Caenorhabditis elegans: one gene and its partners. The protein of the gene in region 1 purifies or fractionates together with the protein of each later gene. This does not show direct contact. Each region holds a gene or a part of one and is shown on either strand. Other genes may lie near its edges. The genes, in order: rde-4, rde-1 and drh-1.

Evidence for each region.
Region 2: the proteins of rde-4 (region 1) and rde-1 purify together in Caenorhabditis elegans (affinity purification with western blotting; one study listed by BioGRID). This does not show direct contact.
Region 3: the proteins of rde-4 (region 1) and drh-1 purify together in Caenorhabditis elegans (affinity purification with mass spectrometry, with the first as the bait; one study listed by BioGRID). This does not show direct contact.

Annotation. Positions count from the first base shown.
Region 1 is NC_003281.10:10,215,985-10,224,446, forward strand, and holds rde-4 (DRBM domain-containing protein), read right to left. Parts: upstream 2,663-8,462; 5' UTR 2,661-2,662; coding exon 2,281-2,660; intron 2,232-2,280; coding exon 2,000-2,231; intron 1,956-1,999; coding exon 1,835-1,955; intron 1,787-1,834; coding exon 1,362-1,786; 3' UTR 1,318-1,361; downstream 1-1,317. Other genes in the region: cts-1 (putative citrate synthase, mitochondrial), read right to left, coding at 1-381, 427-633; cox-14 (Cytochrome c oxidase assembly factor 3), read left to right, coding at 2,970-3,072, 6,177-6,252, 6,304-6,390, 6,434-6,437; Y70G10A.4 (ATP synthase subunit e, mitochondrial), read left to right, coding at 6,434-6,554, 6,607-6,725.
Region 2 is NC_003283.11:9,984,585-9,995,681, forward strand, and holds rde-1 (Piwi domain-containing protein), read right to left. Parts: upstream 7,059-11,097; 5' UTR 7,031-7,058; coding exon 6,974-7,030; intron 6,919-6,973; coding exon 6,719-6,918; intron 6,677-6,718; coding exon 6,364-6,676; intron 6,320-6,363; coding exon 6,264-6,319; intron 6,210-6,263; coding exon 6,031-6,209; intron 5,984-6,030; coding exon 5,767-5,983; intron 5,721-5,766; coding exon 5,109-5,720; intron 5,069-5,108; coding exon 4,954-5,068; intron 4,910-4,953; coding exon 4,301-4,909; intron 4,240-4,300; coding exon 3,757-4,239; intron 3,681-3,756; coding exon 3,459-3,680; 3' UTR 3,332-3,458; downstream 1-3,331. Other genes in the region: rmd-2 (TPR_REGION domain-containing protein), read right to left, coding at 1-85, 139-231, 754-811, 1,226-1,328, 1,371-1,489, 1,536-1,693; MYG1 protein C27H6.8, read right to left, coding at 1,953-2,218, 2,271-2,718, 2,765-2,966, 3,062-3,168; trpp-6 (Trafficking protein particle complex subunit 6B), read left to right, coding at 7,323-7,418, 7,475-7,546, 7,591-7,692, 7,742-7,819, 7,868-8,008, 8,054-8,122; K08H10.6 (Major facilitator superfamily (MFS) profile domain-containing protein), read right to left, coding at 9,148-9,205, 9,251-9,367, 9,419-9,666, 9,718-9,859, 10,108-10,507, 10,551-10,849.
Region 3 is NC_003282.8:6,605,158-6,617,789, forward strand, and holds drh-1 (RNA helicase), read right to left. Parts: upstream 8,197-12,632; 5' UTR 8,192-8,196; coding exon 8,102-8,191; intron 8,053-8,101; coding exon 7,878-8,052; intron 7,834-7,877; coding exon 7,767-7,833; intron 7,717-7,766; coding exon 7,397-7,716; intron 7,339-7,396; coding exon 7,218-7,338; intron 6,889-7,217; coding exon 6,800-6,888; intron 6,744-6,799; coding exon 6,577-6,743; intron 6,535-6,576; coding exon 6,454-6,534; intron 6,404-6,453; coding exon 6,315-6,403; intron 6,266-6,314; coding exon 6,138-6,265; intron 6,090-6,137; coding exon 5,859-6,089; intron 5,792-5,858; coding exon 5,687-5,791; intron 5,644-5,686; coding exon 5,432-5,643; intron 3,951-5,431; coding exon 3,827-3,950; intron 3,781-3,826; coding exon 3,571-3,780; intron 3,524-3,570; coding exon 3,234-3,523; intron 3,181-3,233; coding exon 2,854-3,180; intron 2,803-2,853; coding exon 2,715-2,802; intron 2,652-2,714; coding exon 2,593-2,651; intron 2,541-2,592; and 3 more. Other genes in the region: nstp-2 (UDP-xylose and UDP-N-acetylglucosamine transporter), read right to left, coding at 1-202, 483-585, 632-745, 947-1,026.

The DNA of each region.
Region 1 (8,462 bases):
GTAGGAGGCCTTGGCGACTCCACGAGCATAAGCTCCGGCGAATTTGCTTTCATTGTTCAAAGCAGCGATAGCGGCGATGAATTGAGCCATTGGATGGAGGTTATCTGGGAAGTTGTCGAGCATTCGGACAACGTGGGTTGGAAGATCGGCACGGGCGTTCCATTCTTTTGTGATAGCGGCAGTCTGGGCCTCGGATGGAACATCTCCTGTACACAAAAGCCACCAAATGGCTTCTGGAAGCGGCTCTTCTCCTCCCTTTGCTTTTGGAAGAAGCTTTTGGCATTCTGGGATAGAGTATCCACGGAATCTGATTCCCTCCTCTGGGTCAAGAACTGAGGTTTCGGTGACCATTCCCTTCATGCTTCTCATGCCTCCGTAGATCTTGAAAAAGAGACTATGAATTTAAACTTCCTAGTAGTTGCTTACCATGTCAATGTTCACATTTTGAACGACGGTGCTACCGTGCTCTGTGCGGAATGACTTCACTTTAGCGTTGTGGGCTGGGATCTTCTTGGAAAGAACCTCCTTCAAATTGGTGGATCCTTCAGCAGATGTTGAAAGTGGAGCGACTTGACACACAGGGATGACTCCCTTGGTGATAAGTCTGCGAATAGCCATTCCAGAGAGCGACATTTTCTGGTCGGATTAAACCTGGAAATCACGAAAATTTAAAATTGGAAAACTTGCATCGTCATATCAATGTGGCGGGTCACGCAATTAAAAAAAACAGATGAGATTTATCATTTGAGAACTTGAAAATGATGATAAATTTTATTGAAACATTTTAACTACGCTGTGAAGGTGAAACAATTTGCGACCGCGACCCACACTCGTTCAAAAATGAGGACGGGCGGCGCGCAGGCCGCACACTTTTTTCTTTTCTTCTCTAAATCTCGCTCTCGTGCACTGCAGAGAATGAGTGTGGAAAAGAGTTTTGTAGAGGTCAGAGGCATAGAGATTACGCATCTTCTATAGAATTCTATTGATGATTGATGGAACCACGTTGGGGAGAAAACGGACAAAGAACATCATTGGTATTTACTGTTTCTATAAGTGATGGAGGTAATGATAAAACACAGCCGCCCGTTGATGGAGTGAGAGCACATTGTCTTCATAGAAATAGAAACCATAACGCACAAAACTGTGACGTTTCGCACACAATCTTACCACGCGGCAGGCACACAAAGAACAATCACAGTAGAATTGACACGAGGAAAAGTAATGGAGGGAGAGAAAACACAAAGAACGACAAAAATATAATTTCGAGTAGTTTCAACTCTGAATGGCATTATTCAAAAAAATATTTAAAAAGGATATAATCATTCAGACGCTTCATTTTTCAGGAATACGCAATAATATTTTCAATCCGTGAAATCATAGGTGTTGAAATGGATAATCGCCGATTTACAAGCACACTGTTTAGCCTCTTCCGCCGATGAACCATGTCCAGCAAACACTAGCGGCCCGGAATCTGGCATATTCTTCTTCCGTAGCTTTTCCTTCTCGGCAGTAGCCTTCATAATTTCTTCAGTCTGGGTGTGTTCTGCTCCCATTTCCAAATCGTCGGGGTCTGGAGAAACTAGACGCCGGAACGAGATTTCCAATAGCACCTGATGTATTCCCATTGTGCTCACTGATAATACGTTGAAATCCATGCTGTAGTCTGAAAATCTTTTCTTGTCCGAGAGTATATCAATCAGTGCGGAATGCTTGTCTTTAATCTTGGATGCTTGATCCTGAATTTCGAGTAAATGTTCAGCTTCTTCCAAATTTTCAATCACATCAACTGAAAGCAGTAAAATTAAATATTAACTACAATTATTTGGAGGCATACCCATATCATATGATTCCAGAGATTCGATACCGTCTTCCAACGCTTTCCACATCAACCATGCTGCAAGATTCTTTGCGTCCTTCTTCTTACTTCTGATTCCTCTGGTTTTTTGATTGCACATCTGAAATTTTTTATTATTTTCGAGTTATTAATTAGCAGTTCTACCGTGCATATAACCAAGAAACGCTCGGTTCTCTCATTCTTGGAATCTTCATAGATTGGGGCTTGCAGCTTGCTTTTTTGAGATTTTTCCTGCAACTTTCCGACCCAATTCTCGGTTGGCGAAATACCAGGTGGAAATTCAGCACTTGTAGGAATCGAATCATCGTTATCGTTATCCTGAACAGCATCTGAAGTTGATCGTTTCAATTCCTCAGCCTTATCCGATATTTGATCACTGAAAACAATTGAAATATAATTCAATTTGATAAACTTGAAAGCATTACATATTCGAAAGAGCTTCTTCTTTGGTTGTTCCAGGAATGAAAAAGATTTCGTGCTTTCCTTTCTCCACAACCTTGCGTAAATATTCAACAGCAGCCTTTTGTCTCGCAGCTTTCTTGCTTGTTGCCTGGCCTTTTACAGTAATTTCATTCAGAATCAACGTCATCTCGAAGCCTTCAGGAAGTTCGACAGTGCCCCAAGTTGGCGTCTTTTGATAGACAGCCTTAGCAGCCTCTTCTAGTACCATGAGGGGAGTTTTCTTCAGAAACATCTCCAAATCTGTTCTGTTTCTTGGCGTTTTGTTATCCTCCGATCGGGAAGGCTTCATAGGAACATCTGATCCACCGAAAACGCTTTCAAACGTTAGTTTGGTTAAATCCATCTATAAATAATATAATTTGAAACAAAAATAATAGCGGATCTCGTTTAAAGAAACGAAAAGAAAAAAACGTTCAATTTTCAAGTTTTGCGGTAATTTCTCATCAAAGGCAACGAGACCGGTGGTACGGTAACACTTGTTTCAACTGTGCGATTTGCTGTGTACTCCTCTCGGATAACGATTGCTTCAATAAAATTTATTTATTTTAATAAAATATATTTTTCAAAGTGATCTTTAAAGTGTTTTCCTTATTTTACAGTTCATTTTTTTAACTTTGAAATTAATTTTTTTATTTTTTTATTTTTGCAGTGAATGTTTTGGTCGCGAGTTCAGTTCGCGGCACGAAGGAGAGAAGACAGTCGACCGCTTTACCGAAGAATCTTCACAAATCGTCGACTTGACATCGCTCATAAGGGTAAGAACATGATTTAGACAACGATTTATTTAATCGAAACATGACGAATATGTTTTCCAAGTTGTAGTACTCAGGCAACTCAAATCTAATATGAAAATATTAAATAGCAATATTTTCGTAGTTGGGTGATATTTCAAGATAAAATCGCAATATTCCGAGACTTATTCGAAATCTTTTTAGATTGAGCAATCTTTTGAGAATATTTCGCAATATTTTGAGGTTGATTCGCAATATTTCTGAATCTGAAAATATTACGAAAAATTCGTAATATTTTGAGATGACATAGCAATCTTTTGAGATTGGTTCGCAATCTTTCTGAAATCTAAAAATATTACAAAAAAATGTGTAATATTCTAAGATTAATTTGCAATCTTTTTGCAGTCCATAAAGATTACGAAACACCATTTCCAAATTTCCATCGGCTTCACATGATCGTGATATATATACAACAATTATGATTACTGTTCCGTTCTAAATTCTCTTTTCTTCCAAATGATAAAAGACTTTTCAAAGTAAAAAACAGCTACATGAAAATCTATATAATGGAGCATCTCACTGTTAACGGATATTTGATTTTTCGTTGCATATTGTAGAAGGAGTTTTTGCAGAGAAAGCCATAGAATTCACAAATCTGTCCACTCATGTAATTTTTTCTAGATAATTGGCCGGTCATATTACAAATTCAGTCAAACAATCACGAAGATTGGTCGAATATATTAAAGTAGACTTACAACTATTCATTCACGCGTGATGCGTTTGAGATTTTCTGATTTCAATTGAAATCATAAAATATTGTCAACAGCAAGCATGTTCCCAGTATACTCATCATTTTAATCAAATTGTTAGTGAAAAAAAATATTGAAAAAATAAAATGTTTTTCTCTCTTTGACAAAAATTCGGAAAAATTGCACATCTAACTTTTTTAAAAGCATAACAAATAAATCGTTTTTCCACATTCGCTTTCAAAGAAAGTTATCCAATTTCGCTCTGACACTTAGAAAATTTGCGAAAAGTCACTGATTTCCCATCAAAGGTAACGAAAAGGACGTGCGCCCATCAACTATTTACTTAAGCAATAACTAAATCTAGATGCGACACGTACAGGATGGCTCAACAGGTAAGATAATGGTTTATAGACTCAACGACAAGCGACGGACAAGTTCAACTCCCCTCAATGGCAACAAAAGTTCTTCGAGTTATCACAAAACAGTTCTAGAATAGTCGATGAATGCATTTTTAATATTTAGAGACAAATTCGCAATATTTTGAGACAAAATCGCAATATTCTGAGACGAAATCTCAATCTTTGCAGATGAAATCTCAATCTTCGGAGACGAGTTCGCAGTCTTTTGAGACAAATTAGTAATATTTTGAGATAAAACGGAAGTCTTCCTAGAAATTTTCACACTTTCGCAATATTTTGAGATGAAATTGTAATCTTTTGAGACAAAATTGAAATCTATTCGAAATTTTTAGTAATCGTATATGGACGCACTATTTCTCGTTTTTACTACAAAAATATTGCTATTTAATATTTTCATATTAGATTTGAGTTGCCTGAGTAATGCTTTGAAAGATTGATTTTCCAGTTACTCAGGCAACTCAAATCTAATATGAAAATATTAAATAGCAATATTTTTGTAGTAAAAACGAGAAATAGTGCGTCCATATACGATTACTAAAAATTTCGAATAGATTTCAATTTTGTCTCAAAAGATTACAATTTCATCTCAAAATATTGCGAAAGTGTGAAAATTTCTAGGAAGACTTCCGTTTTATCTCAAAATATTACTAATTTGTCTCAAAAGACTGCGAACTCGTCTCCGAAGATTGAGATTTCATCTGCAAAGATTGAGATTTCGTCTCAGAATATTGCGATTTTGTCTCAAAATATTGCGAATTTGTCTCTAAATATTAAAAATGCATTCATCGACTATTCTAGAACTGTTTTGTGATAACTCGAAGAACTTTTGTTGCCATTGAGGGGAGTTGAACTTGTCCGTCGCTTGTCGTTGAGTCTATAAACCATTATCTTACCTGTTGAGCCATCCTGTACGTGTCGCATCTAGATTTAGTTATTGCTTAAGTAAATAGTTGATGGGCGCACGTCCTTTTCGTTACCTTTGATGGGAAATCAGTGACTTTTCGCAAATTTTCTAAGTGTCAGAGCGAAATTGGATAACTTTCTTTGAAAGCGAATGTGGAAAAACGATTTATTTGTTATGCTTTTAAAAAAGTTAGATGTGCAATTTTTCCGAATTTTTGTCAAAGAGAGAAAAACATTTTATTTTTTCAATATTTTTTTTCACTAACAATTTGATTAAAATGATGAGTATACTGGGAACATGCTTGCTGTTGACAATATTTTATGATTTCAATTGAAATCAGAAAATCTCAAACGCATCACGCGTGAATGAATAGTTGTAAGTCTACTTTAATATATTCGACCAATCTTCGTGATTGTTTGACTGAATTTGTAATATGACCGGCCAATTATCTAGAAAAAATTACATGAGTGGACAGATTTGTGAATTCTATGGCTTTCTCTGCAAAAACTCCTTCTACAATATGCAACGAAAAATCAAATATCCGTTAACAGTGAGATGCTCCATTATATAGATTTTCATGTAGCTGTTTTTTACTTTGAAAAGTCTTTTATCATTTGGAAGAAAAGAGAATTTAGAACGGAACAGTAATCATAATTGTTGTATATATATCACGATCATGTAAAGCCGATGGAAATTTGGAAATGGTGTTTTGTAATCTTTATGGACTGCAAAAAGATTGCAAATTAATCTTAGAATATTACACATTTTTTTGTAATATTTTTAGATTTCAGAAAGATTGCGAACCAATCTCAAAAGATTGCTATGTCATCTCAAAATATTACGAATTTTTCGTAATATTTTCAGATTCAGAAATATTGCGAATCAACCTCAAAATATTGCGAAATATTCTCAAAAGATTGCTCAATCTAAAAAGATTTCGAATAAGTCTCGGAATATTGCGATTTTATCTTGAAATATCACCCAACTACGAAAATATTGCTATTTAATATTTTCATATTAGATTTGAGTTGCCTGAGTAATTCTTTTTCTTTTCAGTAATTGTCCGATCCATCCTTGGTTTCCTCGTTTTCAGTACTTCATATTGTATCATCAACGCAGGAATCTACTACAAGTAAAGGATTAAAATCCATTATATTTTATATAACTTTCCATAAAATTCCAGGTTTGTGCGACCAATCCGTCAAGAAGAGCGAGAACTTCTGGAGAGAGAACTAATCGAGGCAGATAAGGCCGGATTTGCGTTCAAAAAGTGAGATTTGAAGTTTTAAACTAGCCAAAATTGGATTTTTCAGATGATTCGTCCGTTTTCACGTGCTCTCACTTCACTTTCTTCCAAATGGGAAGGATTGTTCTTTGTTGGCTTTACTGCTGGAGCTGGTTTTGAACTTTTCAAGATTTATTTCTCTTTTAATGGTAAGATTTTTTAAGTTGCTGATTAACAATTACAGTGTGTATGTATTTTCAGGTGTAAATTACTACAGCGTTCTCAAAAAACGGCAATTACAAAAAGAGCTTGACGCATTCGAACGGCAACTCAAAGATCTGGATACAATCATTGCCACCGGACAACCTCAAACATTTTGAATGCTGTTTTAGAATAGTTAATTGTTAGGTTATTAAGTAGGTCTCCCCACGTCTCCTGATCCTGTTAAAACGGCTTTTTCTGTTGTCTCTCATTTTCTTCATTCTTATTTGTTAATACCATTTTGATTAAAAATCTCTGAAATGTTTCATATTTAAATAACTCTATTGCTATTGACACTGAATATTTGAAGAATGCTACAACAAAAAAAAGGGTATGATTTTTCAAGAGCTTTCTGAAGCACTGAGGCATGAACGGGTAGTTTTTGACGGAAGTCTGAAAAACTACAAAACTGATTGTGGCGTTACTTATTACGTGAACACTAAACTCTGAGAATGCGTATTGTACAACATATCTGACGCGCAAAATATCTCGTAGCGAGAACTACAGTAATCATTTAAATGACTACTGTAGCCCTTATGATCGTTACAGTATTAATTTAGATAATTACTGTAGTTTTCGCTACGAGATATTTTGCGCGTTAAATATGTTGCGAAATTCGCATTCTCAGAATTTAGTGTACCCGTAATATTATGGTTGTTACTATTTTCCCATCCGTTACCAAAGGCCAATAGCCACAGTTAGACCATAAATCTTGGTACATGTAAGAACGGAGGTGCAAGTTGTATTGTTTCACATTCCTCGTCGATCGATAACTGGGTCAAAGTATCGTATACTTGTTGGTAAAGGGGCGTGGTTTGCACATCCAGCGTTTATGATGATATTATCCGGTTGCCATTAGAATAGTCATTCATTCTACATTTTCAGTCAACTGGAGGTCTCACCTCAAACTCTCTTTCTCTTGTTTGAATAATTATGTATTTTGAGGTCCATCGAATATTGTCTGACTTATATTTTCTTCGCTGCTCTTTATCTTTTAATGCTTTATTTTACTCTAGTAATTCTCAGAATTTCTTTCCACGAACTCAAAATGCCGTTCGCTTCGGATCTCAACATGGCATCAAGGCACTTACCATGAAATATGTCAACTCGGAGAGTATAATGTGGGAAGCGAGAAGAATTGTTAGAATCATTTCTCGACTTGAAGCAGAGGAACATCAGTCAAGAGTTGCTCCAAAAAGATCAAGAAGTCCTGGATCTACATCACCATCTGCATCAAATTCTTCTTCGTCATCTTCAAGTGAACTCTCGTTTGATATGTTCTTGTCTAAAAGAACAGTTCCAATTAAAGTCACTTCAAAGCGAAAGAGAGTGATTGCCCAAGCATCGCGGAACATGAAGCCATAGCAGCAAGAGTCTCGTCAAGAATCCGCAGAGAAAGATCGAGCCAATGATGAGAAGTTGAAGAAATTCATTGAGAGCAGAAAACTGAAGGAGCAAGCGAAGAAGGATGCAAACATCAAAAAATGCAAAGAAGTGAAGGAAACTGTCATGATTCCAGCCAAGAGAATGAAGAAGCGTCAGCTCGAGCAGTATGCCTACAGATTCAAGTAATCTAATTGTGTTTCTATGTTTTATAACTATTCCAATTCTATTCTAATTCATCAAACCATTTTCCAATTTCCAAAATTACTAATTATTTTGTACCCGGTTTATACATATTGTCAATAATTTTGTGCTTTAATAAAATTTTGTACCTTACATCCGAAAATACAGCCAAACAGAGTATATTAGCTTGTACGAAAGTATTTTTTAAAAAATTGATAAAAATATATAAAAGCTGATTTTTTCAAAAATTCAAAAGTATGGGAAAATCAAATGGAGTCATTCTTTTTTAT
Region 2 (11,097 bases), on another chromosome or scaffold:
CCTTCTCAACACGATTTCCAATTTCGTTACAGAATTTGGCCAAGCGCCAAAGAACATCAATGGACTTCTCTCCAGCATCGTATCTCTGCAAATTTAAAATTATATTTTATTGTTTAAATATATAAATGAACAGTCTACCTTCTTTAAAGCATCATACCCCTCCTGGACGCGGTCTGTTCCGAAAAGAGCATCAAGATCTTCGAAGGACATTGTTTTTGAATGAGCGGTGGTCTGAAATCAAATAACTTTTCGTTAAAAAGAGAACTTAAATATTTCTTATCATTTTGAATTGCCAGCAATCAGGCAAAGCTAAGGCATTTCGGAGGAAAGAAAATGAAAGAAGAAAAAAGAGAGCAAATTCGTATCAAAAATGGGAAGACAACAGAAGACGAGAACAGCAGTTTTGTGTATACTGATTCACGAGCGCTACGCGAGAAAGAAGAGAGTGACGGCTGTCAGAGGAAATAGGCAGTTAGAGATGTTCTTTATAGGCTACACACAAACAAAAAATGTTTGGAAGCACAGAATTCGTTCGAGAATATTCAAATGAATCATAGAAAATATATGTAAAAGTTAAAGAATATAAACTTGATATCGCTTTGCTAAAGATAACTTTGAAATGTTCAAATCTAAAAGTTTTACAGATATTTTCTGGCAACAAAAGATGGGAACAAAGTATAAGGTCCAGCATATTCTAGGGTTTTTTTCGAGAGAAGAAAGTCGGAAAAAGAAGACAAAAATACTCCAACTGACCTGCGATAAGGATCTGCTGAGCGATTTTGAGTCACCAAATGCGCGGTCGTCAGTGTACCTGCAAAAACGATTGAAAATTTTGTTGGTCAAAAAAAACAAGATTTTGATCTACCATGGTGGGTGAGTCATCGAAAAATATAAGTCTAGATGTTTTTTACCTGGCATCACAAATCGACAGAAATTGAATAATTATTAGTGACAAGATAATAATAGAATTCATTGTTGAAACAGAACTCAAGAGAAATGCAGACGTTTTCTCTCTCCCAAAAATCTTGTCTCACAAAGTGTAAAGAAGTTTCTTGGGAGCTCACGAGAACAGATTATCAGATGTAAAGGGTGACATCGGGCAAGAGTTGACGTCATTATTTATAGAGATCTATCTTATCTTTTCAATTTATGATTGTGGAGATTTTTAATCTTATCATTCTGATTTCTGGATCTATTATTGACATCTTTGGCAGCAAATGATTACCAATCTTCTTCGGCGTCTCCATACTCTGAATCTGAAGTAATCGAAGTCCAGCTTCTGGTCCTTGACATTTGTTTGTAGGTAGAAGGACGGCTATTACTCGCTTCTGAAAAATATATAATTTATATTTCTACTTTTTTTCAATTACCTAATTTGAAAGATACAGTCTTGAGAGCTCCACTACTCAAAGAAGTTCGAAGTGCGCGTTGACTTTTGATTTCATCGTACATGGTTTTCAGCAGAGTTTCGAGATCGTCAACTTTGGCACTAAAATTATTTTTTCTGAAACAACTTTCGTACTTCATTTTGATACCCTAGAACCTCGGTCATCATCTGAAGTCGTTCGATTTCGACGATATTTCGGTCATCTTTTCTTGCATAGTATAGAAATATACCTACAGCCGCACCTGTGGCTGCTGTTATTCCCACATATTTCCATACAGTTTCAGAACTTGTAGACGGCGTAGTCATCTGTTAAGCTTAGAAAATACCAATGGCTCACTGATTTAGAAGTATAAAGATTCAGGCAAGAACCGGACCGTTATGACACGTGACAAATTTTATAGACAACTGGAGTGTAAGAGATGGAAAAAGAAAAGAAGAAAAGCAAAGTGACATCGGGGAGGAAGTTTATTGAACGTAATAAAATATCAAAGGATCACTGAAATATCAGCTGGACAAATTCAAACAAAACAAATGAAAACAGTAATTAATTTTAGATAGATTAGATCTAATTACCCAATTTAGCTTTTTTCACTGGATTCTCTTCTCCTATTTCGAGAGCTTTCCGTGCCATGGCAATTGCTCCTTCACGAGTCAGATTTCCTCCAATGAATCCGGAAATGTGGACAAAGACTCCGCCTGGGATTCCACTTTCCTTCGAAAGATCGTCATCACGGAGACCACGCCAAGCAGCTGGAAGTGGCATGCGATTCTCGAATGATGACATTTTGTCGACTGGGATTGCTTGAACGCGCCACGAAGCATTGGTAGAATCTAGAAAACAGATAATAATTATTGAATTTTAAAAAATTAAATAATTTCTAACCCGAGAACAGAATGTAAGTGATATTATCGTCGGCAATATTCTTCTCTACTTCAATGTCGAAAAAGTGTTCTTTCCACGGGCATCCACCGTTCTCGATAAGAATGATCCTTCCAGATGCATCAATTTCAAATCGTTTATCCACAGCAGCTTCGATGATCTCTCTAGCTGGCCACCAAACATTTGCCAAGTACTTCACTGATCGTGAAAACTCTTCACCGATGAATTGCATTGCTTGTTGGAATCGTTCATCAGCATCATTCTCAGGTTCATTCCAATGGGAATTGAATTGACCAGTACGCGATGAAAGATTTCCTGATGAATGATATCTTGGAACTCCGTCGTATTGAGAAATCCCGTTATCAATGGCGTCGATTGATTCAACGAATTGCTCGTAGAGACGATGATAGAATAGATCAATCATCGAGGATGACACATTTCCACCAAGGATCTGAAGTTAATAGTTTCAAAACAACCTTTTGATTATTGAAAGTTACCTGATTGATGACTTCTCTCCCGTAGTGAGCGTAAACTAATCCTGCAGAGCTTAGTTTTGTATCAAAGTTAAGCTTCTCTAGAGTACGCATGGTATCAGTGAATCCACGTTGATGATGATCGTATCGTTGTTTTGAATGATCAAAGATTCCACCGACATCGACGATAATATCACACTTCTCCAGTTGAGCAGCGTCACGGGTTCTGAAATTACAGATTTCAGAACTCAGCTATAAAATAAATCCTAATAAAAAAGTGGGTCATTTCGCAAACTTGATAAACATGAAAAATCGAATTACCTTAAAATCGAATGATCCTTGAATTGTGGCAATTGTTTCAGCATGAAACAAGCAAAAGCCTCATCGCAATGGAATTTTCCGGAGTGAGTACCAATGAGCGATGTCATCTTGTGACCGAACTGTCCAAGAAGTCGTGAAATCACCTGCAGAGAGAAAACATTTTAAAAATCAAATTACCTATCTTTATGAAACCGTTATCAATAAGTAGTTTAAGATATGATGCTCACGTTCAAAACGAAATTTAGAGGTAATAAATAATAAACACAGAATAAATTTCAAGTAATTTATGAAAACGTTAGTCATGGAATGAATTTTTGAAACCGGGCTTTAAAAAAAAGTAAGTACAATATCTACAATTGAAAAATTTGATTGAAACGGGCGACACTTTTGCAAAATGTTATGCGAACGACATTCCAGGGTACTTCACGTTAGTTTGGAGAAAATGTTCCATTTCGTGTCGAGTCCGTGGCTGTGCATAGTCACCGATGTAATGTTCCTTGTAAGTTCGATAAAGCTCTTTCGCTTTTTCACATGATAAATGAGCATAATGAACCGGAACAGGCAACGAGATGGGTTTTCGACATCTAGCAGAGAGAAAAGCAAGTCCGTAGGTCATTTTCTGAAACATTTTTTTATAATAACTATATGCGGATTACAAAATCCTAAAATCGCTAACTGCTATTCAAAACGCTTACATAGACTTCATCTTGGCTCATTCCTTTATCGTCATACATAACAGTGTAATGTCCTGGACGAGATGTACCAAGGACACCATGATGAGATGCCAAGAAAAAATCGAATTTGTATTTCGAAACGATAAGTTTATCCACAGTTGTTCCGGATGATGGGTTCACAATTCCAGTTTCTTTGCTTTCTTTCATATCCTCCTCCCATTGTTTAACAGCAGCAACAGCGACATCTGTTTCAGCAGGAGTAAGATCTTTATTGACCACTGGCTTATCTTTTTCCATTCTTCGAAGCAATCGTGTATTGTGTCTTTTCTGAATCACAATGAACGTGTACTTCGGCTCTGGATCTTCTCCATCCCGTTCCGACATGAATTGTTTTACTTCGCTTTTTAAAGATCGAAGCTCATCATGACTAACACGTAGCATCTCCGAATCGCTAACTCCGTCTCGATAGACTACAATATGCGCTGGTGCTCGATTGTCGTTGTTCTGAAAGTTTACAAAAAAATTAAAAATCCCAGAGATCTTTTAAATACTCAAGACAACTCACTTCTGCGAATTCTCTGAGCAATTTCACGAACTTTGCTTCCAAAATATCTGTTCTTTCCCGTCCATGAGCCACTGCACGCTCACCGGGACGACATTCTTCTTGAGTCACAATCATATTTCGATAGATAGTTCCACCTGGATTGATACTCGCTACTACAGCCGCTATAGAATAATCAATTCCACTGTAGGAGGTTGGATGAGTTACATCAATTCCAACATACATAGTTAATGGCATTGTTTTCCGTCTTTCTTTTTCTTCTGGTGATATTTCTGCAATTTCTGACCAGTCAAGCTCCTGGTTAATACCTCCTAATTTCGCGTTGATTTTCAATGCAATTTGATAGAAAATTCGTTTTGATCCTTTCTCGTGCCTTAGTGATGCCAAAGCTTTTGTGACTGTTTCAGAAGTAATATGCTGATTAGCTACACCGATGGTGTGATCGCAATAATGTTTCACAAAACCGTAAGCATTCAGTTGTCGTTTGGAAATGATAATGAACATTAAGACTTTTTGTTCTTTATCGGGAAGACGTTCAAACATATTCTTCGCTTCTGTTGCGGCTATTTCAAATCTACCGATTCCGGTATTTAGTGTACAATTTTTGTAGAACTGTAAATATGATATTTAAAAACTTTCAATTTTCTGAAACTTACGGCATATTCATTTTTCGTCGCGTCGTACATAATAGATTGCGCTCCTCTGTTTTCATTGGCACCAATTCGTATTCCACGGAACTTGCAACCACCAATTAGTTCGGTGTAGAACTTACTGAAAATATTTCGGAATAATCTACGTAGAAAACACTTACACAACGTCGTTCTCTTCTAAGCATGGATTTCCCGCTGTTTCGTTGACTACAAAAACAGCACAGCAAAGTTCTTTTTCGGGAACCACATTCAATTGTTTTTCTTGAAATCCACGAATCACTGGTGTCATTTTAATTTGTTCATTTACACTATTCACAAGCATTGGCTCTTTCAAAACCTTTCCTGGACATTCGATCATCTGAAGTTTGGAGCATAATCCAAATCTTTCAACAAAATTTAGCTCTTCAGAAGAGAAATCCAATTCTTTCAGCATTTTTAGGGTATTTTCTTTGTAGTCGTGAGGTTTTCGTGTAGCTCGCTTTAGAAACTTGTCTTGCATCACCAGATCAATTCGATTCTTGTATCTTTGTGGCTTCTCATGAACTTCAAGATGTTCCATTGGTACAGCGTATTCTTTTGCTCCACTTTTAACTTTGACTAGTGGTAGGTGGGGAAACTCAATGAACTTTTTGTTTTCCTCATAGATTTTGAACAATGTAGTATCGTACTTTTTTGCATTTCTTCCTCTGTCCGATTTACCAGTGACTTTATAAACAAGAGAGTTTTCCTCGCACAAATCTAGAAATGTCAGATGTCGTTCTGTCAATCTCGACCTGAAAATCAATTTGTATATTAATTGTTTGAATAATTTAAACTAACATTTCGTTATCCCAAACTTCTGCGCATTTCAGCTTCAAATTTTCCAATAATTGTCGAATTCTTGGCCGCGCGGCTTGTCTGATTGTCATTTTTCCCGCCATCAGTTTTGTTTTAAGATCTTTTCGTACATCATCGTTACACGACTGGGGGTCGACAATTAGGAGAAGATAATCCAGAAGAGACATTTTCGGTGCATTGTAGAATAGTTTATCGACAACTTCAACAAAAATCACATGATTTTTTATCGCAGTTTCTCAAACTTACTTGCAAAATTGAGCACAGGTTCACCATCGAACAATTCTTTGATTCCAATGTAAATTCCAAACCATGCTTCGATTCTTGGTGCTACTTCTAATGATTGTTCGAATCTGTTTGGATCGTGAAACGATTCAGGAACTCGCAGAATTGAATTATTATCGTACACAAAATTTTTCGCGAATTGTCTTAAAATATATAAATGAGTTGAGGTGATTATTATTATTATTATTGCAACTCACACTTTAATCTCCTCGTTCACAAAAGGCGCGTAGCGAACTTTCTGGGTCATAACATTCTGAAAGCTAATTTTGTTTGTTATAATGCGTGTTTTTCATAAACCTTCAGGAATTTGTAACTCCGATTCGCTTCTTCGTCTTTTTCCGGATTTTCTCGACTAAAGTTCAGGTGAAATTTTTTACGATAGGTAAGTATCATTGTGTATAAGATTTTTTTCTCCAAATCCTTTTCATCTTTTTTCTCCGAATCCTTTTTTACTACTTTCTCCGAAACCAGCATTTTTGATGTGACAGTGTTCAGTCGACAAACACTATAAACAGTGTCCTTTTCATCAAAAACATAGTCTTCGAGAATAAAATCTGTCTGCTTCTTCTCATGCCGAAGATGTTGCCAGAAGAGTTTTGCACGATCGGGACTGAAAAATAAAATTAGTTTTGACTAATTTACAAGCACTTACATTGGAATTTCTGTCTTTTTTGGGAAAGGTTTTCCTGGTTTTCTATTCAATACTTCCTTTGTCATTTTCACTTCATACTCGTAGTATTCCCGATCGTAAATTTTGCTGGAGAACTTGAACCAATTTACCAAAAGAAGTACTTTCTTCTCATAGAATTTGCCGTCGCATTTACCAGTGGGCCTCGCAAGCCATTTCATCTCCTATAATATTAATATCAAACTTATATATCTTATAGCTGCTAATAATTGATCATACCGGATCGAGAGAATGACGATAAAATCCTTTTTCCAATTCGGGAAAATTCGAGGACATGTTTCATCACTTTGTGGCTGTTGATTATCTAGAAATTACCAATAAACAACGTTTATGATTAAAAAAGAAGTATATTTGATAATTGAAGATAGAAAAAGTTAAGTTTTAATCTCTAATTAAGTTGAACAGTGTTACAAGGCATTTTTAAGCGAGAAAAAATGTTTTTTGAAAATATTTTTAGCATGAGGAATGTCGTCATTTGCGCTGTTTCCTCCGCAATACTTCGTCCCCGTGTTTGCAGAACCACTCTTTCCAATTTATTTATTTTTTATTTCCCTTCAAGAAATTTTTTATGGCGTTTCCTTTTGATATTTTACATTTGGAAATTATCCGTTCAACTTTGGAAAGTGAAAAAGATCGATGTGAAGCAAAGGAAAAGTTTGGAACAGTGAGTTTTTCTTGATTTCTGAGTTTCAATTTATTTTATTGGAAATCACTTTTCAGATTATCGATAACTTGAATGGTCCAGCTGATATTGAAAAGTACGAAAGCTTAGTTCAAAAAGCTTTTCTTCACGTAAGTTAAATGTTAGAATACGTCTTCCAATGTGTGTTCTTCAGGCAAATGCAGAGACTAAACTTGAGTCGATCGGATTCAGAGTTGGAAGGCAGCTCGTGGAAAAAGTATCAAAAGAGTCTCCGAAATTGGTCACTGAGTTAGAAGTAAGAATTTTGTGACAAGTTTTATCCGGTTGTAATTTAAAAAAATCAGATTGTAAAGTTCATTTGCAAGGATTTCTGGTCATCAGTGTTTGGCAAGCAAGTCGATAATCTCCGCACAAATCATCAGGTATATTATTTTTCAAACGATTTTATTTCCAAAACTTATATCTTTCAGGGTGTCTATGTTGTTCAAGATGGAAGATTTACAACGCTGCGAAGTTTTCCCGAAGGTGATCAATACGTGAAAGAAAGTGGATATTTCCTTGCTTTTCCATGTGGTTTACTTCGCGGAGCCCTTGCTGGTCTTAATATTAGAGTGAGTTCTTTCTTTTTTTGCGTAATCTACGTTTGTTCGTTTCAGGCAATTGTAACTCCAACAATCGAAAGTGTACCTTCTGTGAAGTTTCATATTCAAGTTCAACCAAAATAGTATTTTTCACATGTCAATTAATTTATGGATTTTTGTATATAGTTTATTTAATTTTTGAGAATAAATAAAGAACACCGGTAACCTTGATGACATCGAAGTAATAGAAATAGAAGAAAACATTATAATTGAAAAAGTTCATATATTCCCACCGAAGACTATATTTTGGTTACAGGAAACCAAAAACCTAGTTTTGCATTTTTGGAAATTTGGTGGAGCAAGTTCGGCTCCAATAAAGGCTGCAGCCGGTCCCATTCCAATGCTAAATACAAAAGTGAATAAAAAGAATAATTTTATAACGAAAACAAGTAGTTACACAGTCGCGATTCTTTGCGTCAAAAACACAAGCGGGCGTGCTCCTTCAAAGGTTACTGTAAGTTAAAACTCGTGGAATTTTCATCGACTTTTCATAGTTCTTCTCACGATTTGTTATTATCAAAATATAAAAACTGTCACCTCAAATTTGACTGCAGCAACGCGCGCGAAATTTTCGCTCTCGATTCCGCATGCCGTAAAAACAGTTGGGACCACGGTCTCGCGGGTGATGACAGAAGCGGGAGAAGAGAAAACGCTAGAAACATCAGTTTTTGCGTTGTATCTTCGCATTTTCTCGTCTCCGGTTTCTGTCACCACCCGCGGGGCCGTGGTTACAGGTGTTTTTACGCCATGCGGAATCGAGAGCAAAAATTTCGCGCGCGTTGCTGCAGTCAAATTTGAGGTGACAGTTTTTATATTTTGATAATAACATTTTGTTTTTGTTGAAATGTATTTTTTCAATAAATAAATATATTTTCAACAAATACTGGAAAAAATGAAAAACTATCCGCAGAAACGAACGTTTGAAATTACAGTACTCTTTGTAGGCGCAAAGGACACGCCTACAAAGATACAAAGAGTACTGTAATTTCAACTAGAAGATTTAAGTTTTTGTATACTACAGTTTACTTATTTTTTTGAGAATATTTAAAGAACACCGGTAACTTTGATGAAATCTAAAGCATAGGAAAAAGTAAAAACCGTGATATTTATCATTGAAGAAGCCCATATATTTCCACCGGAGATTTTCCTTTGGTTTCAGGAAGGTACCTGAAATAATCATAAGGAATTGTTAAACAAGGAATTAAATCTTACATATAAAAATAGGCTGCTGTGATTGTAAGTGGAACAATAAATAACATAAATGCAAATCCGCCAATAGATTCGACTAGTTGGAGATAAATGATTGGACAAATAAAAGATCCGGCAAATCTGAAATTCAAAAATTCAAATATTAATCTAGTGCAAAATGCAGAAACTCACTGTACGGAAGTGCTATAACTCTGCATTTTAGAAATGGTTCCAGGTGGAGCAAGTTCTGCTCCAATGAAGACTGCAGCCGGTCCAATTCCAATGCTAAAAACAAATGTGAATAATACAAATAATGCCAAAAATGGCCAAGCGAGGAATGAATCTTTCGTAGAGTCGTATAAGAATACCAGGGACATCATAAAAATATTTATAAGAGCAAGAACTAAAAGAGATGTGATAAGAAGTGGACGACGGCCAATCTAAATTAAAATGTGATAATAATCCAGTTTAAAAATAATAATTATAGAAACCTTATCCATAGCTATGGCAGCTAGTAGTGCTGAAACTATCGATGCAAAACTGCATAAACTGTTTGCCACTGCGGATCCCTCTGGTGAAAATCCAATTGTTTGTAATAAAAACGTCCCGAAGAATGAGATGGCAACAATACCACTGAAAATTGTATATTCTTGCTATTATGTCGCCTTACAAAATCATTTTATGTCGGGATTTTCCGAATATGACTTTTTAAAAAGTTTTTAGGTGTTACGTTTGAAATTTGACATCTGTAATTTAATTCCGAAGGGAACACTGAAAACCCCAAAAAATGTGTTGGAAAACATAAAAACTGCAAAAAATGGTAGTAAATGGATAAGTTTACCAAACACTCGTGGGTAACAATTACAGGATCTTTTTCTTACCTAAAAGCTACTGAAAAGTTGATAGCAACAGCAAGTGACAATGCTTGTGCACATCCCTTATCCTTCAAAATTTGTCGAAGGCTCTTTTCTTTCACTCCATTATCGATAATTCTCAAATCTTCCATAATTTTCTTGATATGACATGTTTCACCATAATACACTTTTATAGCCGATTCTCCTTCAGAAATCTTTCCGATTGATAGTAAGTATGTAGGACTATCATGGAATGTTGTGATATTTACCAAAATGTGTAGTACACATGGTATTGTTTCAATAAAAAAAATATATTTCCACTGGGTTACTGTTCCTAGTACATATGGGGTTCCAAGAGTTGCTGCTAAGAGGAATGCACAATTTCCGATGAGACCGCTAAGAGAGTTGGTTAAACCACGGAACTTGGCTGCAAATATGGAAAATATTAGTAGTTCAATTTCAAATGATACCTGGACTAATCTCTGTTAAAAATACACCTTGTGCAGATATTCCAATTGCAAATGCAATACCAGAAAGGATTCTCGAAATAGGTAAAAGTTCACATAATCTCAATGAATATGCCAGACCAAATACTGGCGCAGAGAATAATTGTAAAATAGCAGCCAAAAGAAGACTATTTCGTGGCCCAATTGATTGTAATAGGAAAATTGAAATATATGCTCCAATCATGGCTCCAATAAATAAACATCCAGCTAGAGAAGACCATATCAATGAAAGCTGAGATGATGAGAGTTCATATGAATAACGACTGAAAGTGTGGGAAATGAGGAGTTAGGCAATATTTTCCAAAATGTTTTGAATGAGTGACAAGGTATTTTCAAACATAACTTACGCAAAATGAATGTTTCAGTTTTTTCCAAGCCTTATTTAGTTTGATTGGTGTCATTTCAAGAATGAACATTATTAAATGTTTGTTTGAAACAATTCATTGACTGAAGATAACTTCAAAAATAAGTTTTCAATTTTTATTTCCCTACTACTTTGCGAATTCAGACA
Region 3 (12,632 bases), on another chromosome or scaffold:
TGAGCATAATAATTCCAATCGTCCATTCCTTATAATGTTTCGATGCTTCTTCCATCGAAAGTCCCGAATCTCCTTGTGTTGACGTGGCAAGTGTGCAAATGACAATTCCGATGGTAATAGCGAATACGGAAATGTATTTCCGAGCAGAATAACTTTTACCAACCATAACAACTGAGAGAATCAATGTGGCAAGAAGAGAACCCTGAAAAAGTAGGTTTAGCCGGTTTTGAATGAATTTTACATAATTTAAATTGCTTATAAAACCTCTAAAACTAATCATCCGCCAAGGGTGTATTTTTTGGAAAATCGAACATTTTAATTTTTTAAAAAGATTTTTCAAAAAATACCTGTAATTTTTGGTTTCGAATTACATATTTTCATATGTCATAAATTCATCGAAAATTTGGAAATAGTTTGTTAATTTTTTGGGTTTTTTTCAGAAAAAACTGAAAAAATTCCCCTGCGAAATTCCTGGCGCTCACCGATCTGAAGATGATATGAAGTGGAACAGGCACATGGAAATTGAGAGCTTGATTATTGACAACATTGACAATGAAGAACATGGTAACCGTCTTGAAATAACCTCTGAAAAAATTAACGATTTTTACTAAAATAAGAGCAATAAACTCACTTTAATGGAATTTGATTTTTAACTGTGAAGAATTTGGAAGTTGAGACGAGTCCTACTGTAGAGATGAAGAGAAATGTAGAAAATGTCATCAGGTTCATGGCAGATGGCTCTTGTCTGTAAATTTATTTTTTTAACGCTTCTATGTTTGATTTTTAAGTTTTTAAATTAAATTTTTAATTTTGTTAAATTTATTATTTGACCTCAAAATACTTTCATCAGATTCTTGCTACACATTTTTTGTACCCGAAAACCGGTTTTTTTTAATCGTGTTTTTGAAAGATGCTATTTTGTAGGGTATTCTGTAGGTTTTCTCACTTTGCGATGTTCTCCACAAAAACCATACATCCCATACAACTACCAAGTACACCGAAAATCGGTGCAACTGCCGATGCCATTCTTACTGGAAAAAATTGGTGATATATTGAAAAAAGGAAATATAAGAAAATGCAGTAGGAAAAAGAAGACAAGAAAGAGAATGAAAAAGATTATTGCCAACCAATTTTGTCGTAGGAATTCCATAGAAACCTTTGAACGAACACATTACATTAAAAAAGTGATTTTCCTTGAAAATGGCCCAGAAAATTGGAAAAAGTTAAAATTGAGTAATTTTGCCAAAAAAAATACAGTACATGGTCTCGCCACGACAAGTTTTTGTTAAAGGCATGCGCCTTGAGAGACTACTGTAATTTCCAAACCCTCGTCACCAGTGCGAAATATGCTTGTCTTTTTTGGTTTTTTGGCAAAAATGTTTTTTTGTCTAAAAAAACTACAAAAATTCAGACATATAAGAAGCGAAAATAAGTCTTTTTTAGGGTTAGAGAATTTAAATTCATGTTTTTTGCCCAATTATCCAAGCAAAGAGACAAAAACTCGCAACATTACAAAAAAAAATCTCGAAAAACACACAACTGGTCTGATGAATTAATGAAAGAAAAAATGATCAGCACAAACTACAATCGAAACTGTGTTGTTTGTGTGTTTGAATACATTCCCAGTGTGTGCGTGTGTGTCCGCTGAGATTGTGAACGAAAATGATTGGAACTGAGCGATTGGCAAGTGGAGTGGGAGAGTAAAAATGTGAATAAACGCAGAGTGTTAGACAATTCAAAAGTGAGGTTTTGGTCATCTTGATGTTGGAATTGCGGTTGGATTGAGGATATTACAATAAGCAGCTGTAGATTTTTTTTTGAACAATCATCGAGAAAATTTTACAATATCGCAAAAAATCGCTGAGTAGATACAGGATTTTTTAGAAAATATGAAGTTTTAGTGAATTTATAAGAGTTGTTTTCAAATTGAGATTAGAAATCTACCATATTAAAAAAATAACTTTCAGGACAACACGAAATGCCAAACTTCAAAATGGTAGACTAAAATAAAATACTCTGATCGAAATGGCTGAAATGACGAAAAAACTTTAGTTGATGTGATTTGATAAGAAGTCTTATCGTCACACTACAACCTACATGTTACATACCACAAATGTGGGTAGAATAAGTCATACGGAAACCTGAAAGATTGAGAAGAAAGATGCATATGAATTAAATTGGAATAAACCGCAATGCTGAAAAAGAAACAATGCCGAATAAAAAAGCTGTGAAATTTATTTTTTTAAAAACACGGAAATGAGTAATAAACAATGGTACACTTGTGGAATGCATTACTTAATCTCTGGGAATTTGATATGAAACCGGAGAGACTAAAATAAAGCATGAAAATAAGAAACTCGTAGAAATTGTCAAATACTGAATTAAATAAGAATGTCTTCTTATGCTTCTCTGATTAAATTGACTACTTCTCCATTCGCGTGATGCTCAAATACCATTGGTGTTCGAGCTTGATCCGCATCTCTCATTGTTTGAACATCCAATTGTCGTATTTCGGTCGGTGTGAAATATTTGTCAAGAATCTGAAAGAATTTTTTTTTCGAAAAACGAGAAAAGTCTGCACACAAAACTTACATTTTTCCATTTCTTGACGATGATCCGTTTATCGGTACCTTCGACTAGCAACACGATAGCTGAAAATTAAATAATTAATAGAATTAAGAATTAAATAAAATAAGCATGTAAAGAAAACCCACAAAGAGCTGATAGACATGGAAGATCCACTGTATTCACTTCAATCAACTGACCAAGCTTTAAACCACAATTTTCGCGGCGACAATTAATCTGAACGAGTTTACATTCAAAAACTGTGTCACTAATCTTTTAGGTTCTCACCGATCCAGTTGCATTATATTTAATTAATGCTTGTTGCTCATCCGTCAGGCGAGTTTTTCGAACGAGGCTCCAGAATCCCGGATCACAGACAAGGTATTGAGTATTTCTTGATCGAATATCCTTGCTTGTACACAAAATCGCTTCACATTTTTTACAGATGATCTTGTATACAATATTTCGATTAATTTGCTCCTCGATTTTTTGCGCTTTATCGGTATCTTCTCTCAGGATTCGAGGCCATATTTTATTGCTTTCCTCGTCTACACATTTTCGGAACTCAGCTGGCGAATTTTGGATTAGGGAGATTGTCTCAGACATTAGACTTTCCTAAGAAAAATACATTAATATTTTCAACTAATTCGTTGATCTTAATTACTAACTTTATCCCGATTGTTACTTTCCTGGTCTCGAAGTGCTATGCTATTCGTGATGAGCACACATTCTGAGTTGAGAGCTCTTCCACGACCTCTTCGTTGAACGTGAGCAATTTCATTTGTTGCATAGTTATACTTGATGACAAGACTACATTCAGGAACATCCAATCCTTCTTCAGCAACAGAAGTTGATACGAGAATTCGAATTTCTCCATCAGCAAACATTTTCAACTTTTCCATTTGTTTTTGTTTCGATGCTGAGATATCGGCGCTGCTCGCAGTCGACTTGTTCAATCCTGTAATAAAAATGAATAAGTTATGTTTTCAAAACGAATAACTCTACCAGACATCCATTCAGATTTGATTCCAAGCATCAGCAATTCTTCGTTCGAATTCAAAACTTTATTGAGAATCGTTGCCTCGTATCTAGTTCGCACAAAAATGATTGTTCGAGAATCGGCTCTTTGCAAATTTTGTTCAACAATATACTGCACTGTTTTAGAAATCATGGGATTTTCCGCTGAACCAGTTCCGACCAATTGGTTGTGATAACCTTTAAAATTGAGAATTTTTAACGTTAAGTAAGTGATAAAACTCACGTTCCCATATTCTAATCATGTTGACAGTGAAATTTGGTGTCCGATATTCCATCTCATCTTTCAAGTAATTCAATGCAACTTCGGGATGGAAATTAATGTTGTATGACAAAGTACAGAAACATTCCTGGAATCGAATTCAGAATAGTTTCAATCTTATACACTCAAAATAATAAAACTGCGTTGCGTGTACGCCAAAATAGGCCCCGCCTTTTTTTGGCAAATACTGTTTTACTACTTGATCTTTTACTCCGTATCTCTTTTACTACAAGATCTCTTTTACTACGAATTCCGCATCTAGATCTTTTACTACAGTTAGCTCTTTTACTACGTGATATCTTTTACTACGATTTGACCACATAGATCTTTTACTACGGAAAATACTTTTTTACTACCTCATCTTTTACTACGTGGAGGGATACTGTTGGGTTACTGTAGTGGTATTGTATAAGTAACAGTTTTCAGATAATATATTATAGTTTTTTTTTTAATTTCTAGAAATTTATTCACCATGAAAAAATTTTTACTACAATGGCAGGGATTATATTTTGTTTCGTATCTTTTACTACGAATTAAAAATTAATTTTTATAGGATAGTCTAGATATAAACAAATCTATGAATATTTTTTAAAAATATATAGGTCACAATTGTAGTTTGTGCACAAGTAGTTCTAGTAAATTTCAGTTGTTTATTTTTTGGATACTGAGATGGAGTTAGTGGAGGGATCCTGTTGGATTACTGTAGTGATACTGTGGGAGTAATTAACTTTTTTCGCGTTACCAACAAATTAGTTCCCTACCGGTTGATTTATAAGTTTTTAAAATGTAATAAGCAACTTGCGGGTTCGGTCAGTTATATGCCAGATGTTTGAAATTTTGACTTCAACTGAAATTTTGATCAAAAACTTTAAATTTGCAAAAACTTTTGATCAAAAACTTGTTTTTTTCTGGATTTATCAAATCTTGTATAGAATAAGCAATTTATCGTTTTTCATAGTGAATAAATTTCTAGAAATTAAAAAAAAACTATAATACGTAATCTGAAAACTGTTACTTATACAATACCACTACAGTAACCCAACAATATCCCTCCACGTAGTAAAAATACGTCCGTAGCAAAAGAGTAAAACGTAGTAAAACATCCACGTAGTAAAAGATGAGGTAGTAAAAAAGTATTTTTCGTAGTAAAAGATCTATGTGATAAAATCGTAGTAAAAGAGAACACGTAGTAAAAGAGCCAATTGTAGTAAAAGATCTAAATGCGGAATTCGTAGTAAAAGAGATTCCGTAGTAAAAGAGATCTTGTAGTAAAAGAGATCTTGTAGTAAAAGAGATACGTAGTAAAAGATCAAGTAGTAAAACAGTATTTGCCCCTTTTTTTCGCTCACTCACGGGGAAAAGGCAAAAAGCGGTACCCCAGGCAATATCAGCCGCCGACATCATTCGAGGTCCGCGCAACACACTATTTTTCTCACTGTTGGCGTGGCGAGCTGTCCCCCTCCCCTATTTTTGCCTTTCCCCGTGAGTGGACGATTAAAAGGCGGGGCCTATTTGGTCGTACACGCAACGCAGTTTCATTATTTTGAGTGTAAATGATCACACACTAACTTTTAACACATCCAATGCCTCATTAATTATAGTCCTTGTCCCGGTTTCTCGGAAACTCGTCCCTGAGACCAGATTCATTTGATTACAAACCCAGTTCTGATAACCAGCATGCTCTTTATCAGCTGGCGGGTCGAGAAAACTACTATCCGGACGGAAATCTCGTTCAGTCGTTTCAATCTGTCGTCTTTGCTCAATCCCGATATGCTCATTTCCTGAAAATAAGATAAATTCTCTCAATTTTCTGTCTGAGCATACGTAGTGCGGTTCTGATTAGGCCTTCAACTTCTTGCATCATAAGTGTAAGCCTATTCGTGAACATTCCAATCGGGCCATCAGTACTTCTTTCGCAAAGTAAGACCTCTGTAAATTTAATAAATAAATTCATCATCAAGGAGTACGGTACCCCTAAGAAAATAAATTAACTCACTGTCTGGGACAATCGGCGAATAACCTCTTAATTCTTCCAAATTATCCTTAACAATGCTCAAGTCCTTGACGTCCATACTTGCACAGAGACCAGCAATATAATTCCTGACTTGTAGACAATCATTTTTATCGCCAGTTCCAAGGGATGCTGTCAGACCAATGATTTGTGGAAGACTGTGTCCTTCTGGCATGTTTCCCATATTCTTTAGGTAGTGGTATTCTCTCATAATATCTGAAAATGACAACTTATATTAATAGTATTTTTAATTACGAAACCAACTTGAATATGGAGAATTCTTGACTGTATTGTGACACTCATCGAAGAAAATAATGGTAAACGTCGAGAGGAAAAACTGATCCAATCTAGACTCATCGTCGAGTGAGTTTCGATGCTCATTGCAGAGATTTCTGAAATTAAACTATTAATTTGGGAAATATTGATAATTAATAAACTAACACAATCATCTGAGGTGTTGCAACAATGAGATCTTTGGATTGAATAACATTTCTCGTTGGAACATTATCGGATCCTTGAATGATCTGAGTCTAAAAGAAATTATTAATTTACTATCTGAGTATTCGAATACGAAACAAACATGATAAACATGATCCAAATATGATGAAATGCTAGCCGCCTGTTGATTCAGAATCATCGAGTTCGGTGTCATGAAGAGAGCCTGAAGATTCGAATTTTAAACTTTAAAATAGCGAAAAGCAACCTTAAATCGTTTTCCTTCACTTGACCTCGACTCAAAATGTTCTTTGATAATATTCGCAGCGATTACAGTTTTTCCAGAGCCAGTTGGAGCAGTAACAATTGTATTTTTGCCTTGAAGAGCCACCTGGCAGAGTTCCTCTTGGTAATTTCGAAGGCATAACTGTCTTTCTGGAAGATAACGCAGTTTAATTATATTTCCAGGCAAATTTAGGATGGAAACTTACGCCGATGAATTCGTTGACGAACAGATTCAATTACAAGACGAGGAGTTGAATTTTCTTGTACAATGTTGTCGACACGAATATTGATCATTCTGAAAAATTAGTTATTAAGAATGAATACTCGATAACACTAGATTTATGTGAAAAAAATGCTCAAAGATGTTTAAAATGAGAAAGATATATAAATTGGCACTGCTGCACTTTCTGCGCCTCTCAACAAACATTCCCGTACATTTAAGAGTTAGCAATGCGTGTGGCGGGTGTTTTTCTGCCGGAATTTATCATAGTGATTCTAGATAGCATACTAACAATTGATACGAATGAAAATTGTATACATTTTCAGTCGTATCTCCAATTTTCGATAAAAATTAGTATTCTTCCAAAACAGTAGCGCAATTGTATTTTATCAATTAAAATTCACCTGTATCGGTTAGTATTCAAAGCCGCAGTTCCTAAATAGACCATCATTTCCGTAGCGGATTCATGTACTGGACAAATGTATATTCTTCCATTCAACTGTCTTCTACTTGCATTGATGATTTCTATAACACGATAAAATTATGTAATTTTCACAATTATCTATTGATAATAGATGCGTACGGTAAAACCTGAGGAATCCATCGTTTTTCAATCGCAAAACTTTGGCGATAAATTGCTTCGCCTCGACATCGAGGTTATTTGAACTTTTCTCCGAAATTGTATACATTATATCGTATACCGCTTGCTCTCCGAGCAGAGGCACAGTTCGAAGAATTAGCTTCTTTATGAAATCCGAGTCTTGATTGTCTTCTTCGTTGCGCTCTATTTCTTTTCTCAGAACTGCAACGGCGTCGATGTATTGAGGGTACGAGTCCAGATAAGCCAGAACCACTTTTGGTTCAATGAAGCGTAGGAAACCTTCGAAGTGATCGAGAATGTAGCTGAAAATAAGATTTTAATTCAACTTTGAATAAAACATTTGTTCACAAACTGAAAATCGCTCAATTTCACTTCTCTGTTCGAACAGTTAAGAAGCTTATGCACCGTGCATTTTGGAACTGAAAACTTATAATTATTATTTTTAAATAGTTCCATCACATACGATAAGTTTGCAGATATGTCATAATATCTTTGTAAAGCCGCTCATCATCAGCGTTTGACAATATACTGTTTTTCAGATCGTGATACAGTTGCTTCGAGAATTCCTGCGCATTTTCAGATTGAATTTTCAATTCGTCGATCCTTCCTAGCGGGAGCAGCTCGGAAAATCCATCACCCTGAAAAAAAAACGATTGAAGCGTGGCAGAAAATGCATTTCCAGCTCACTTTTTCCGGATCACGGTAGATCGGCTCGAGGCAGAGTATGATCTCTTTGTCGTAGAGGGATAATATTGAAGAACACTGCTTTTTCCTCATTTTATCTGCAAATTTAGATTTTTGAGAAAAACTAAGAGAAACGGGCTCAAAGAAACATTATTTCTGAAAAACATTTAGATTTAATTCGAGAAAAAACAAGAAATACAGTGTTCGTTCAACTGAGCACGCTTGCTGACAGCTGAGTGCACGTCTGCGTCTCTCTACTAATACACTGGAACCGCACTCTCTCACCAGAGCTGTCGACAAAAGAAAATATTAACTTTTCCAAAATTCAAAATAAAGCAGAGAAACTCATTTTAAGAATTTTGCCGAGAAAAAACACACAAAAAACCAAAAATACACAGGAAAAACGGTATTTAGCATATTAATTAAATTGGAATAAACCGCAATTAAAAGGAAAAATCGAAACAAGAAAGATGGTCGAATTTACATTCAAAATAGAAAAATATTTATTTATAAAATGAGTAATTTACAATAATAGTACAATTGCAATTGCGGAATGTCTTATTTTGAGAGTTTGATATGAAATCGGAAAGAATGAAATAAAGCATTAAAACAAGACCCTCGTAGAAATTATCAAATACTAAATTAAATTGGAATGCCTCAAGTTATGCTTGTCTAATTACATTGATTACTTCTCCATTAGCTGTATGATGCTCAAATTCGATTGGTGCTCGACCATAATCCGCGTCTTTCATTGTTTGAACATCTCGCTGCTTTAGTGTGGTCGGTGTGAAATGTTCATCCAGAATCTGAAAAAAAACTTGTACCGAATCTTGTATATTTTGATCGTTAAACATACATTTTTCCATTGTTTAACGAGGATCCGTTCATTGGTACTTTCAATCAGTAGCAGGATAGCTGAAAATAACTCAATTTTTACATTTATTATTATACATCCTAGATTGGGGCTCACTCTCACTTTTTAATAATCTATAGAGCTATAAAATGTTCTAATCTCCGGACTGCAAATAACGGCCCAATCTTGGATGATGTGATGTCGTGGGACATTTTTCTATTTTGAAATGAGAAAAAAACCAACATTTTACTTTCAGACACGGGAGATTCACTGTATTCACGTCGATCAACTGTCCAAGTTTCGAACCACACCTCTCGCCAAGACATTCAATCTAAATAAGTTTAGATGCATATATTATAAAATCTTTTTTACGAATCTCTTTGACTCTCACCGATCCAGTTGAATTAAATTTATTTGATGCCCTTTGTTCAAGTGGCAAGGGAATTCTTCGAACGAGACTCCAAAATCCGGGATTACACACAATGTATTGCGTGTTTTTTGATCGAATATCCTTATTCGTGCACAAAACTGTATCACATTTCATACAAACGATCTTGTACACAATATTCCGATTAATTTGCTCTTTAATTCTTTGTGCTTTATCGGTATCTTCTCTCTGGATTCGAGGCCAGACTTTATTGCTTTCCTCATCTACACATTGTCGGAATTCTCCTGGCGAATTTTGGATTAGGGAGATCGTTTCGGTCATTAGATTTTCCTAAAAAGAGATTGAAATGTTAAAACAATTTATATATGCACATTAATTACTCACTTTTGCTAGATTATTGCTTTCCTGGACATGAAGTGCAATGCTATTTGTGATGAGCACACATTTTGAGTTTCGAGCTCTTGCTCGTCCTCTTCGTTGAACGTGAGCAGTTTCATTTGTTGCATAGTTATATTTGATGACAAGACTGCATTCTGGAATATCTAATCCTTCTTCAGCAACAGAGGTTGAGACGAGAATTTGATTTTCTCCATCAGCAAACATTTTCAACTTTTCCATTTGTTTTTGTTTCGATGCTGAGATATCGGCGCTGCTCGCAGTCGACTTTTTCTGTCCTGTAAAAAAGCCCGTAAAAACTTGATTAAGAAATTCAAAATCAGTTTTTTTATTATTTATCTACAACATTTTGGAAAACTGTACCGGACATCCAATCAGATTTGATTCCAAGCTCATGCAATCGATCATTCAAAACATAATTGAGAAAGTCTGCTTCCTTTTTTGTTCGTACAAAAATGATGGCACGAAAGTCGGATGTTTGCTCATTTTGGTCTAAAATAAACTGCACAGTTCTAGCAATCATTGGATTTTCCGCTGAACCAATTCCAACCAATTCGCGATGACAATCTTTAAAATTCATATATTTATTTTCTAGCTGAATTCGTGAAACTCACTGTCCCATATTAAATTCATGTTGTCGGTGAAATTTCGTATCCTTTCGGGACCCAATTCCTTTTCCAAATACTTCTTCAATGCAACTTCGGGATTGAAATTAATGTTGTATGACAAGGCATAGAAACAGTCCTGAAATTGAAATATTCTTTTAAAACCGAAACGATATTTTCTAAAATAATTCCAGAAAATCTTCATTTGAGAGAACATGTACTGTACCTTCAACACATCCAACACCTCAATGATGAGCGTTTTGTTCCTGGAACCCGCCAGCGAGACACAATTTCTCTGATTGGAAATCCAGTTTTCATAACGATTATGCTCCTTATCAGTCGGTGGGATTTCATACTTTACGGTAGGTTCGTTTTCTGAAAATAAGACAAATTCTCTCTATTTTCATTAAATTCGTACTTAATGTTGTTCTGATGAGATCTTCCACTTCTTGCATCATCTGTTTGAGCCTCTTCGTGAACATTTCAATCGGGCCATCATTGCTTCTTTCGCAAAATGAGACCTCTGTAATGAAAAAAAAAATATTAGAAAACTCTCGAACGAATGCTACTATACTATCCAAATTGTAATGTTGTGAAGAAAACTAGACTTTTCAAAAGATATGAAAAGAAAATAGCTTACGATCCGTGACAAACGGATTGTGATCCAACAGCTCTTCCAAATTATCTTTAACAATGCTTAGCTCCTTGACGTCCATATTTGCACAGAGACCAGCAATATAACTCCTGACTTGCATGCAATTCTTTTTGTCGCCAGTTCCAAGAGATGCTGTCAGACCAATGATTTGTGGAAAACTGTGTCCTTCTGGCATGTTTCCCATATTCTTTAGGTAGTGGTATTCTCGCATTACATCTGAAAGGAAAAAATAAATAAAAGAAGAATTATTTTGAGACCTACTTGAATATGGGGAATTTTTGACGGTATTATGGCACTCATCGAAGAAAATAATTGTGAAAGTTGACAGGAAGAACTGCTCTGGTGGATATTCATCGTCAAGTGGGTCTCGGTGCTCATTGCAAAGATTTCTGAAATTAAACTATTAATTTGGGAAATATTGATAATTAATAAACTAACACAATCATCTGAGGTGTTGCAACAATGAGATCTTTGGATTGAATAACATTTCTCGTTGGAACATTATCGGATCCTTGAATAGTCTGAGTCTGAAAATAGATATTCTAAAAATTGATTATTTGCATATACAAAATAAAGGGTAAAGATGTGCTAAATATGACGAAATCCGAGTCTCCTGTTGATTCAAGATCATTGAGTTCGGTGTCATGAAGAGAGCCTGAAGATTCGGATTTTAAACTTTAAAATAGCGAAAAGCAACCTTAAATCGTTTTCCTTCACTTGACCTCGACTCAAAATGTTCTTTGATAATATTCGCAGCGATTACAGTTTTTCCAGAGCCAGTTGGAGCAGTAACAATTGTATTTTTGCCTTGAAGAGCCACCTGGCAGAGTTCCTCTTGGTAATTTCGAAGGCAAAACTGTCTTTCTGGAAGATAATGCAGTTTAATTTTATTTCCAGGTAAATTTAAGATAAAAACTCACGAATATGAATTCGTTGACGAACAGATTCAATAACCAGTCGCGACGCTGAATTTTCTGGGGCAATGCTGTCCACACGAATGTTGATTATTCTAAAAAGGGAATACCGTATTTCCTCTATTAGTTCTGCCAGACCAGCAATTTTTTTGTGGGAACTTCAACAAATTCGTCATTTTTTGGCTAAATTAAATTTTAAATTGTTTAATTTACATTGGATCTTCAAAAATTAGTTTTGCACCCCTACGGGCCAACCGAAAGTTAGTCTTGCATGCAAGATTGATAGACGGTACTATAGTTAGTTAGTATAGTTAGTTAGAATGAATCTTGGACAACTCTAGACCATGTTTTCTTTTTTTAATGTATTAAGAACACAAGCTAACCATTTCCTTTTTTAATTAATTTCCTTTATTCATCCTCCCAAAACCGAATTGCAATGAGGTGTATCTTCGAAAAACAAAAATCACCTGAATCGATCTGTGTTGAACTCTTCTGTTCCCAAAGATGCTATCATGTCTCTAGCTGATTCATTAACTGGGCAAACGTACATTCTTCCATTCAATTGTCTCCTACTCGCATCAATACTTCCTATAGCAAAAATATTAAGTTATTTTAACAGTTATATCTAGATACTTACGGTAAAGCCTTGGAAATTCATCGTTTTTCAATTTTAAAACTGTGGTAATGAATTGTTTTGCCTCAACATCGACGTCATTTGTGCTT